Linked DNA regions of Xenopus tropicalis. Each later gene encodes a partner of the first gene's protein in a complex. Links are inferred from orthologs where the notes say so. Each region holds a gene or a part of one and is shown in the gene's direction. Other genes may lie near its edges. The genes, in order: kcnd3, kcnip2 and kcnip1.

What was found.
Region 2: the proteins of kcnd3 (region 1) and kcnip2 are in contact, whole or in part, in a cryo-EM structure (PDB 7W6S), measured with the Homo sapiens proteins. The link is inferred for Xenopus tropicalis from reciprocal best matches to the Homo sapiens genes KCND3 and KCNIP2. Residues at the interface, in NP_001365898.1 of Homo sapiens: Val5, Ala7, Trp8, Leu9, Phe11, Ala12, Arg13, Ala14, Ala15, Ala16, Ile17, Gly18, Trp19, Met20, Pro21, Val22, Ala23, Asn24, Cys25, Pro26, Met27, Pro28, Leu29, Ala30, Pro31, Asp33, Trp54, Arg60; in NP_775283.1 of Homo sapiens: Arg112, Gly113, Phe114, Asn116, Glu117, Cys118, Val123, Phe128, Ile131, Tyr132, Gln134, Phe135, Phe136, Tyr144, Leu148, Phe152, Phe165, Leu169, Ile172, Leu173, Arg180, Trp183, Ala184, Leu187, Tyr188, Met201, Met205, Ile208, Met211, His228.
Region 3: the proteins of kcnd3 (region 1) and kcnip1 are in contact, whole or in part, in a crystal structure (PDB 2NZ0), measured with the Homo sapiens proteins. The link is inferred for Xenopus tropicalis from reciprocal best matches to the Homo sapiens genes KCND3 and KCNIP1. Residues at the interface, in NP_001365898.1 of Homo sapiens: Ala6, Ala7, Trp8, Leu9, Pro10, Phe11, Ala12, Arg13, Ala14, Ala15, Ala16, Ile17, Gly18, Trp19, Pro21, Val22, Pro26, Met27, Pro28, Leu29, Ala30, Pro31, Lys34, Lys36, Arg37, Asp39, Trp54; in NP_001030009.1 of Homo sapiens: Leu67, Arg69, Gly70, Phe71, Glu74, Val80, Phe85, Ile88, Tyr89, Phe92, Phe93, Tyr101, Leu105, Phe109, Phe122, Ala125, Leu126, Leu129, Leu130, Leu138, Trp140, Thr141, Leu144, Tyr145, Ile161, Val162, Ile165, Tyr166, Met168, Met169.

What each region holds. Positions count from the first base shown.
Region 1 is NC_030678.2:59,601,199-59,604,314, reverse strand, and holds part of kcnd3 (potassium voltage-gated channel subfamily D member 3 precursor), read left to right. Parts: intron 1-473; coding exon 474-721; intron 722-3,116. UniProt on the Homo sapiens protein: Pore-forming (alpha) subunit of voltage-gated A-type potassium channels that mediates transmembrane potassium transport in excitable membranes, in brain and heart. In cardiomyocytes, may generate the transient outward potassium current I(To).
Region 2 is NC_030683.2:31,295,257-31,298,913, reverse strand, and holds part of kcnip2 (Kv channel-interacting protein 2), read left to right. Parts: coding exon 1-119; intron 120-2,738; coding exon 2,739-2,808; intron 2,809-3,657. UniProt on the Homo sapiens protein: Regulatory subunit of Kv4/D (Shal)-type voltage-gated rapidly inactivating A-type potassium channels. Modulates channel density, inactivation kinetics and rate of recovery from inactivation in a calcium-dependent and isoform-specific manner.
Region 3 is NC_030679.2:32,041,871-32,045,527, reverse strand, and holds part of kcnip1 (Kv channel-interacting protein 1), read left to right. Parts: intron 1-1,060; coding exon 1,061-1,185; intron 1,186-3,657. UniProt on the Homo sapiens protein: Regulatory subunit of Kv4/D (Shal)-type voltage-gated rapidly inactivating A-type potassium channels. Regulates channel density, inactivation kinetics and rate of recovery from inactivation in a calcium-dependent and isoform-specific manner.

The sequences.
Region 1 (3,116 bases):
ATATAAATGAGATATTACTTTAAATGTAATATGGGAATATACACTAAAATACCCACAAAGTAAAGTTTTCTAGCTAGGGTACTTTGTACTTAACTATAAGAATGCTTAGCATTATTACCTAACTTACAGGGTTATTTTCACTGAACCACCTTTGTTAATTGGAAACATTTCTGGCTTATCTCTTGGAACAGCAGAAAAATATAAAAACTATAAGAAATAAATGATCAATTATCAATTGTTTTTGTTGAAGCAACTACTGTTAAACCAGCTTTCCCATTCTCCATACATTGGTTTTGATATTCTTCATGATTTTCAGTTACCCTTTTCAAGTTACCCTATAAAGCTCTGAGATCAATATTTATGGTTTCCTTGGAATTTTTTCACGCTGATGTGTTATGTTTATGCTTCTCTATGATTAACCTTTTGCCTTCATACACTGTTTTTAGTACTACTTACACCTGGTATCTCCACAGAACCATGAATTTATGGATGAGCAGATGTTTGAACAGAACTGCAGGGAGAGCTCCATGCAAAACTACCCATCTAGTCGCAGCCCATCCCTATCCAGTAACCATGGGCTCACCACCTCCTGCTGTTCCAGACGCAACAAAAAGACCACCCACCTCCCTAACTCCAATGTGCCGGCAACAAGGTTGCGCAGCATGCAGGAACTCAGCACTATTCACATACAGTGCAGTGACCAACCATCTTTAACAGCTAGGTGAGTGTGCATAAAAAGATATTAGTAAATAGCTGTCAAAGTATTTTACAGAAGATGGAAAGATTACAACAATGTCGCTGTAGTAATATGATGGAGTAAACCTTTTTACAATTGTGACTCCACTGTCGCATTCATAATGTGATATGTAATTTATAAGACATGCTGTAATAAGTGATCACTCCACAGGATAATATGGACTTTGACCTGGATGCAGCATAAATCAAATGGGACACAACTCAGCAAAGCATGCTTGTGCAAACACAAGCGTGTTTGCAATAATATAGTATTTGTAGTATATTCTGTCATTGGGGCATCCTCTTTTATATCATAATTGGAATTATGGTAAAAAAGCTCTGTATTGTAGGGATAAAATACTCTAATTTGCATCAGAAATTGCATTTTGCACATTGCACTTGTGTTGGTAAATGGCCCCCATTATTTCTGGGATCCTTTTACAACCTTTCTACACTTCAAATTTATTGGAGTTCTATTTTCAGGGAAAACACTGTGAGAAAACCTCATCTCTTATATGCAGAATTCTGTTTATGACCCTGTTCTTCTTTTACACCCTCAAAATACCATGCAACAATACCTTGACTATTAGGTCACACCAGATTTGTCTTATTGAAGAAAGATTATTACACAATAAGGAGCTATGTGAATTAATAAAGATGTTTTTTGGCTAGACAACCAACAAGCTGAAGAGAAATTCTTTGGCAGATGGTAGAAAAGAATATAAATATACATTCAGTTCAAAATATTTCCATTACCCAAATCCAAAGTGAACTGTAAAGGATAAATTAAAATATTACGGTATAGTGGCTCTTTAAATCATCCCCTGGGGCAATACATTTTCAGATTTCATGAAGTAGAGGGCCTGTTTCTAGCATTAAACAGATTGAATGGGAAGAGAAACAAAACCAGGAGAATTGAAGCTAATATTGTTAGTGGCGGGTAGTAAGAATATGTATATATTAGGGAGTGTAAGCGCTACTGTGGCAGGAACTATGTGAATGATAATTAACATTCTCCATAAAGTGCTGTATAATATGTTGCTGTTATATGATTTAATCATAGCAGCTAGAATTTTCAACAATTGAATGTTTATAGATGAAAGATTTTGAAAAAGCTATAGAAAAATAGGAATCTTAACTTGCCTTAATGGCAGGAGTTCTAGAGATATACTTAGGATAAGAGCTTGTGCAAGGGTGCTTGTGCCTTGAGAACCCTAGAACAGTGCTGTCCAACTGGTGGCCCCGACCCCCCTCTGTGTGGCCCCCCACCTGTCTGGCTGCTGTAATGGCTTACCTTTGTGTAAGCTTTAAATAGTATCAGTACTGTGATTAACTGGCCCCCTGCATTGTTCACATCTCAGGCTGTAAACCCCCTGTATTTTTTAAAAATGTAATCCCCTGTGTTTTCACACCTTTTAATCTCTACATTGTTCACCCTCTGCATTGTACCTCAGGCTCTGACTGTAAACCCCACATTGTTCACCTGTTCACACCTCGAACAGAATGTAGGAACAGTAGAAACCCACAAATAAACCCTGCACACTATAAAAAGAACCTATACTGAGGTGGTACTGCAATTAAAAAGTTTCTTAATATATAGTTATTATGCAGACTGTAGGAGCAGTGCTAGCATTGTGCCACTGTATGCTGTCTGTGTGTACCATACTCTGCCTGCTCTATGCTGCCTGTGTGTGCCATACACAGGCAAAATAGGGCAGACAGCGTATGGAACACACAGGCAGGATAGGGCAGGCATGGTATGGCACACACAGGCAGCAAAGGGCAGGTAGAGTATGGCACACACAGGCAGCATAGTGCAGGTAGAGTATGGCACACACAAGCAGGGTAGGGCAGACAGAGTATAGTATACACAGGCAGGGTAGGGCAGGCAGAGTATGGCACACACAGGCAGCATAGGGCAGACAGAGTATGGCACACACATGCAGCATAGGGCAGGCAGAGTATGGCACACAGGCAGAATAGGGCAGACAGAGTATGGCACACACAGGCAGGGTAGGGAAGGCAGAGTAAGTCAGGTTTTTGCTGTACTACCACCATTAATATTGGTATGTTCATGTGATAACACGGGTATGGTTTCAAGTGGGTGTGGTTTACTGGCTTCCATTATCTGGCCTCCATCATGTAGGCCAGAAAAAATCCTGCCCTCAGTAGCACAGAAGTTTGACAGCACTGCCCTAAAAGATACAAGGGGTTGCAAAAACACGTTCCTGGTAACATTAAGAGCTAAATTTTAGTTATTAAACCAGACATTCTGCTCTTCTAGTACAGTGGCTACAATTGTTCTCTCTACGCTAGCAATGCAACCCCCCTGGACCCCCCTCAGTACTGTAGAGGTAAGCATGGGGGGGGAAAGGGGTAGC
Region 2 (3,657 bases), on another chromosome or scaffold:
TAGAAGATGATTTTGAGCTGTCTACCGTTTGTCACCGTCCTGAAGGATTGGAACAGCTACAAGAACAAACCAAATTCACCAAAAAAGAACTTCAGGTTCTATATCGAGGCTTTAAAAATGTGAGTATGAGATTAAAACAAGCTGGATCTCTTTATAATATTATAAATATTGCCTTAGCCATTGGGGTGAAGTGAATGTATGGCAACAGGGCTGGTTTCACACTGAAAGGAAAGAGTATTGTCTTTAAAAAGCCAGATATTAAAAGTATGATTAGATAACATCTTTCATCTAGAAATAAAATATTTTTGGCAGTAGCAGTTTTATAAAGATTTACACAAAGATTTATCAGCATGCAGGGACAGGATTTACATTTTATTTCACTTTTGCCAGTACAGGTATGGGATCCGTTATCCGGAAACCCGTTATCCAGACTCCATTTTAATCAAATAATTCAGATTTTTAAAATTGATTTCCTTTTTCTCTGTAATAATAAAACAGTGCCTTGTACTTGATCCCAACTAAGATATAATTAATCCTTATTGGGGGCAGTACAGCCCTATTGGGTTTATTTAATGTTTAGTTAATGTATAGCCTGCTTGGAAATAGGGTATATAAGAATCAGTATCATATATGTAAGACAGAGCCCCCATTCTGGGTTTGACTGGTGCAGGCCTCCTTCTACTCAGCATGGTCGTTGCACATGTGAAGGTGCTAACATGCACGGTGCCCTATAAAGGGGAAGGATAGCTAAAATGGTAATACCTGGAGGGTAAGTGATTTCAGATCAGAGGGCTCTGTCTAAAGGTGGCCATACACGCACCGATATTATCGTACGAAACCTCGTTTCGTACGATAATCGGTGCGTGTATGGTATGTCAGCGAGCCGACCGATGTCGCAGGAAGCTGCTGAAATCGGTCGGCTCGTCGATCGGCCAGGTTAGAAAATTTTGATCGGGCGCCATAGAAGGCGCCTGACCAAAATTCTCCCTTCAGAGCTGAATCGGCAGAAGGAGGTAGAAATCCTATTGTTTCTACCTCCTTACCTGCCGATTCAGCCCTGAATGGTGTGTGGCGGATCTGACGATGTTTCGTGCGACCGATGGTCGTACGAAACATCGTCGGATCGCCACGTGTATGGCCAGCTTTATGTGGCCTAAATGGCATAAAGCTGTTGGCCATGGGAAGCAGCTGAACAGTCCAAAAAACCCTTTCTCTTTGTCACAGGCTTTCATTGCTCAGAAGAGTGAAACCAGATTGCACATCACATTTAAAGCAAACAAAACTTTAGCAGTCTCAGATACTCTCTGTATGAGTGCATTTTACTTTTATTTTTCCAGAACCATTGATCAGATTCTATTAGGTACGATAAACAGCAAGTGGTAAGGGAACTGTCCCTTCCATTATTTTTCATATTATCCTAACACTGCCAGTATAAAGTGGTGATGCCACAGTGGCCTCCCAAACTGATTTTAAAAGAGTATTGAGAACCTAATACTTAGATATGAACAGTGAATTTAGAAAATGTATGTCCGAACCAACATGGCCATACCCTCCATGTATTTCTGAATGCTATATTGACGCATGGTCTATCATTGGTTTTTAAGGATATTACAGTTCTGGGGGGCCTTGGGTAAGTTTCAATCAATACAAGCCTTAATTACATATACAGAGGATAATCTGGTCTCCAGTTTATTAGAAGCCAACATGTGAAATTCTGCCAATTATTCTTAATATAAACTCAGAAGAAAAGATCACCTTGAACAGCTGGTGATTTATCAAGCCGAAACGGAGCTGGAATATCATTTTTGTGCCAGGGGTATACATTCGTGTTGCAATTAACTGCTGAACCTGTTGCCATTTCATAGGTTCATGCTAAAAAAGACAAGGACTATGAATAATTAGATAGTCATCAGGCTAGTTATCAGTTTATGCTTGTTAGAAACTGCAAAAATATAGACTACATAGGGAGTTATGTAATAAAAGTCACTAAGTTTGCCCAGGAGCAGTAACCCCTATCAACCAATCAGCAGGTAGAATTTACTGATCACCTGTTTAAAAGCAAACATTTTACTGGTTGCTGTGGGTTACTGCTACAAACCTAGTGCCTTTTTATCACATATGGGGTAAGAATTTCCAACCTGCTGACCCCACATTGCAAAGCCAATATCCTAACAGCTAAAGATCTTAATTAGGATGTAGGGTGGACGTTGGGTTGTCTACCTTTTTGTCTTCTCTGATATTTTAGTTTCTTCCATGGAAGCACATAACAGTCAAAATCAAGCTGATGACCCTCCCTCCCCAGCCAGAAATGTCCAGCCCTACACCCAGCTCTTGGATACATCTATTTTCAGGAGTTTGGGACATTTCTGGCAGGGTATCTTGGGTTCCCGAAATCCATCCTACTTGAAGTTCTGTGGCTACATAGACCACTTGCCTAAACTTTCACAAAAGTGTGGTGTGTGCAGTTCATCAGGACATGCTAAAGTGGTGCACTGGTGCTAATTGCAAGTTGCAGTGTGTATGGGCACAGGTATCTCTGTGAATCATGTTTAAATGCACGCAATTTTGCACTATTCTATCTAAAAATGAATTCCTGATTGGTTCCTATGTTACCTGCACTGGTATAGACTTGCACCTATGTTAGTAATTAAGCCTAATGATCTGTTACAGTGCCATAAGATATCAACTGTCAAGCATTTTAACATTAAATATCAATATATTCTTCTTTTTATTAACAGGAATGTCCAAGCGGAATTGTTAACGAAGAGAATTTCAAACAGATTTACTCACAGTTTTTCCCACAAGGGGGTGAGATTTAATTTTTTTCAGAAATGTATTTAAAATAATTTTAGTCTGTAACAGGTATAAACAGCTTCTTTTGCAGTATTTTACCTGCACACCCATTCTTCCTTCCCCATAACCTACTGATGAAAAGCAAGTCTTAAGGTCCCCATACACGGGCCGATTGTAGCTGCTGATATCGGTCCCTTGGAACGATTCGGCAGTTAATCAGCCCCGTGTAGGGGCAGGAACGAGGGGCGTGGCCGACCGATATCTGGCCTGAAATTGGCCAGATATCGATCGGCCAGGTTAGAAAATCCAGTCGGATCTGGGACCGCATCGGCTCGTTGATGCGGTCCCCGAACCAACTGCCCCATTGCCGCGTGCAGAATTTGATCGTTTGGCCCCAGGGCCAAATGATCGAATTCACCTGCATGCCTCCCCGATATTGCCACCCGCCAAGCGAGCGGATCTGCCTGTGTATGGCCAGCTTTAGGCATCATTCCACTCCTGCTAACTCTGATTTTTAAATTTTGTCTCTGCTAGTGCAGGGAGCACAATTGCACTCTCTGCACTAGTGATGCAGCCCCCATTGTCCGTCTGTGACGTTCAGAAAAGTAAGCACTGGTTGCAATGAGGGACGGCATCTGAAAGGCCACCTCGGGGTGGCAAGGACCCCAGAAGCCCCCCTGCTTGTGGGTGATTATCACAGGAAATTACTGTACAATAGCAGTCTAGAGCAAGGAAGAGTCTTATTTTATTTATGTTCCTTAATCCTTTCTTTCACTTCTTGTTTTGTCTGACCAACATATGCTTTACCACAAAGGCTTAAATAATTAAATAAATTGCATTCATAGTTTCACAAGTAGCATAAAC
Region 3 (3,657 bases), on another chromosome or scaffold:
TACAACTAATAAGATGTTTGCTTTTAAAGAGGTGACCAGTAAGGGCCGTGACAGATGGGGAGATTAGTCGCCCTCGACAAATCTCAATTGTCGCGGGCGTCTAATCTCCCCGATATGCCATCCCACCGGCGAGAGTGTAAATTGCCAGTGAGGTGGCATACGCGGCGCGGCACAACGATTTGCTGAAATCGTCGAAATTGCCATGAGAGGAAACTTCTGTCATTTTGGTGCCGCATATGCCATCCCACCGGAAATTTACATTCTAGCCAGTGGGATGGCATATTGGGGAGATTTGTCGCGCGGCAACTAATCTCCCCGCCTGCCACGGCCCTAAATGCTACCTACTGATTTGTTGCTATAGGTTACTGCAACTTATTTTTCCAACTTTACAAATAACAGATTTTTACCTACACAAGATAATAGAGGCTTATTTACATCCACAAGCGCAGTGGGCAACTTGCCCTTTTTTTTTATTATGTAGTAGCGCCAAAATGTGCTCCTCTTTATAGTTGCACTAGGCTCTGCTCTGTCCTTTCTGCCTTCTGTTCCTAATCGTGCGGTGCTGTGTCTAATGACACTGCATCCTGCATCAATTTTTGCCATTTTGGCAAACTGCAGGAGGTGCAGAGCAATTGCACCAAGAGAATCGCCTGGGAACTCGCTGCATCGTAAAAAAAAAACATGCCAATTGCACTCAAAATTGCACTTTGCTCACTGCACTTGTGAAAGAAAATGAGCCCTAATGAGTGATTAGAAATGTGATACTAAATTTGCTGAAATTCTTTAAAACTGAACTAATAAAATATGGTTTAAGTGTAAACTTAGGAAAAATATATTGAAATATATTGGAATTTTTTTTTTTCAAAATATGTGCTTTATAATCAGCAATGTTCATAAGTCAAGGTTTTACAGAACTGACCCATTTTTAAAACAGAAGTCGTAACCTAATGCCTATCATATAACGAATAAGAATAAATCATGCTTTGTATTTTTTTTTAAGGAGATTAAAAAAGATTAAAAAGAACCAAACAGTTAAAATATGACATGCTGTCTGTTTTAGACAAAGTAGAAGATGAGTTGGAGATGACAACAGTTTGTTATCGACCAGAAGGACTCGAACAGCTTGAAGCACAGACTAACTTTAACAAAAGGGAATTACAAGTTCTATACAGAGGATTCAAAAATGTAAGTGTGCAAATTAAGTAAATATTATGTACATATTGAAATGTGATTAAGTCTCTCTTCTTTCCCCCAATTCCACCTTTATCTTCTCCTGTCCCCTTCTCTCAACTTTTTTCCTATACTTTCTCCATCTTTCCCCTTCTTTCAAATCCTGTTCTTCTGCTCTCCACTTCTCTTTGCCCTCCCCTATCCCAGTTTCCCCCACATCCCAGCAGAGTGTTTTATTAATGTATTTATTATCTTGTAGTATAGGTTGATATAGGTCGGTTGTTGGTTGTGGGGTAAACTATGAAGTGCAAGTATTTGGCACAGAAAAAGAAACCAATCTAAAATAAAACACTTGGCTCAAATAAATAACTTTGCTCTAGAAACCAATTAACAACATAAGGTACAGGCAGTTGTCTTACCAAGAAACTTCAGATGACTTTGGAAGATGAAGTACCGCATATGCTTTCCCATCATCGATTTATTTTATTGCCGATGGGAAAGCATTATGGGGAAATCTGGGCTACTCTGGGTGACAAATCTCTCCCGATATGCTTTCCCACCGGAAACAATACTTCAATTAGCCAAAACTATAAACCATAAGTGTCCTACCTGTATCACTTCACTTTTTGGGAGCTAGTAGGAAGCAGGTTGGGCATTCCCAGTTAATCATGCACAGCCTTATTTATACATGCTACGGTTCTAAAATGGACACCTCTATATATATTATCTTTCACACTGATACACACAAACATATAATTTTTAAGGGGGATCTTAAACCTCCAACGGATTTAAACATAGTAACCTAGTAATAAGGTTGAAAGGAGACACATGTCTATTGAGTTCAACCTTTTTGTCTAAGTGAAAACCTGCCTAACCGCTAGTTGATCCAGAGGAAAGTGGAAAACCCCATCTGAAGTCTTCAAGGGGGAATCATTCCTTCCTGACCCCAGGATGGCAATCAGACCAGTCCTTGAATCAACTTGGACTAAACACTTTCTTCTATAACCTTGTTTTTCCTCGCTTGCTAAAAAGCCATCCAACCCTTTCTTGAAGCTATATAATGTATCTGCCAATATGACTGATTCAGGGAGAGAATTGCACAACTTCACAGCTCTCACTGTAAAATACCCTTTTTCAAATAATGTGAGGGAACCTTCATTCATCTAATTGGATTGGATGCCCTTGTGTCGTATCTGCTGAAAGGACCTACTTGTAAATTAAACATTTGAGAGATTATTATATGATCCCCTTATATATTTATACATAGTTATCATATCCCCACTTTTTCATAAGTGACTTTTTCTCTAGTATGAACAACCCCAACTTGGCCAGCATGTCTTCATAACAGAGACTTTCCATAAATGTAACCAGCTTAATTGCATTATCCTTTTTGGGACTGTTATGTATTATATCACATGTGGAAGTCCCTGAGAGGGGATGTAACACTAGTGCCTGACCTGCCAGCTGGTACACTGTTGGGGGAGCACCAACTAACTAAAAGTATTTGGGAGGTAGAAGAGGGTAACACCTAAACAAGGGGTTTATGTTAAAAATACTATAGGGCTTATTTACAAACACATGTTCAGTGTGCAAAGTGTAATTTCCGATGCAATTTAATTTTTTAACCTACACTGACATATTTTCCACGATTCCGAAGTAACTGCAAAGTGGCTTATTTGGTAGAAGTAAAGCACATGCTTTTAGGACTATTTAGGTTGCTGTCTCAGGCATGGTATATCATATCACATCCTATTATATCAGATAATTGTGGGATTAAGTCTGATTCGCCCAAATTAACACATTACGCGGAAATCCAGCTAGCATCATTTCTAGTGTTTGCCATGTGAGTGATGCAGAGCGTAACTATATGGAAATGCAAAGAAAGCATTTTGGCATAAGTACCTTTAATGAAAGTGGTTGTGCATGTAACTGACTGCAGGTGAAATGATGGTGACCGCAACTGCACTTGTGGATGTAAATGAGCCCTATAACCCATAAGGTAATATTGCCAGTTAGCCAGTATTGCTTGTCAAATTATTACAGTAGTAAAGTGAGTGGTGTATACTCTGATGTGATATGTTTGCTGTGCTTTGTCTGTAACGGCAATGTGCAAATTGGAACATTTGGAAACTAAGGTTTGAGGTTTGCAAGTATGTTGCAGTCCACATTCATTTGCTCATAAAACCACTTACATTAAAGGTATTTGTGACAAAATGCTCCTCTGCATAGTAAGAATAGGAATGGCTTGCAGTCATTCCTGCCTTCCGTCCCCCTGTGTGCGCCTATTGACTCAGGGGAACCCTGCAGCCACCACCATCTCCTGACCAGGTGGCAGCTCCAGGGTTCTCTCCCCTTCCCATCTGATGCTAACTCAATGCTAGGGGCTTTTATGATAACGAACATGCAAATAATGCAGTAAACCTGAAATTAAAATGTCTACATGTCTATATGTCTGGTAAGAGATTTCTTTTTGCACAGGTATAAAAT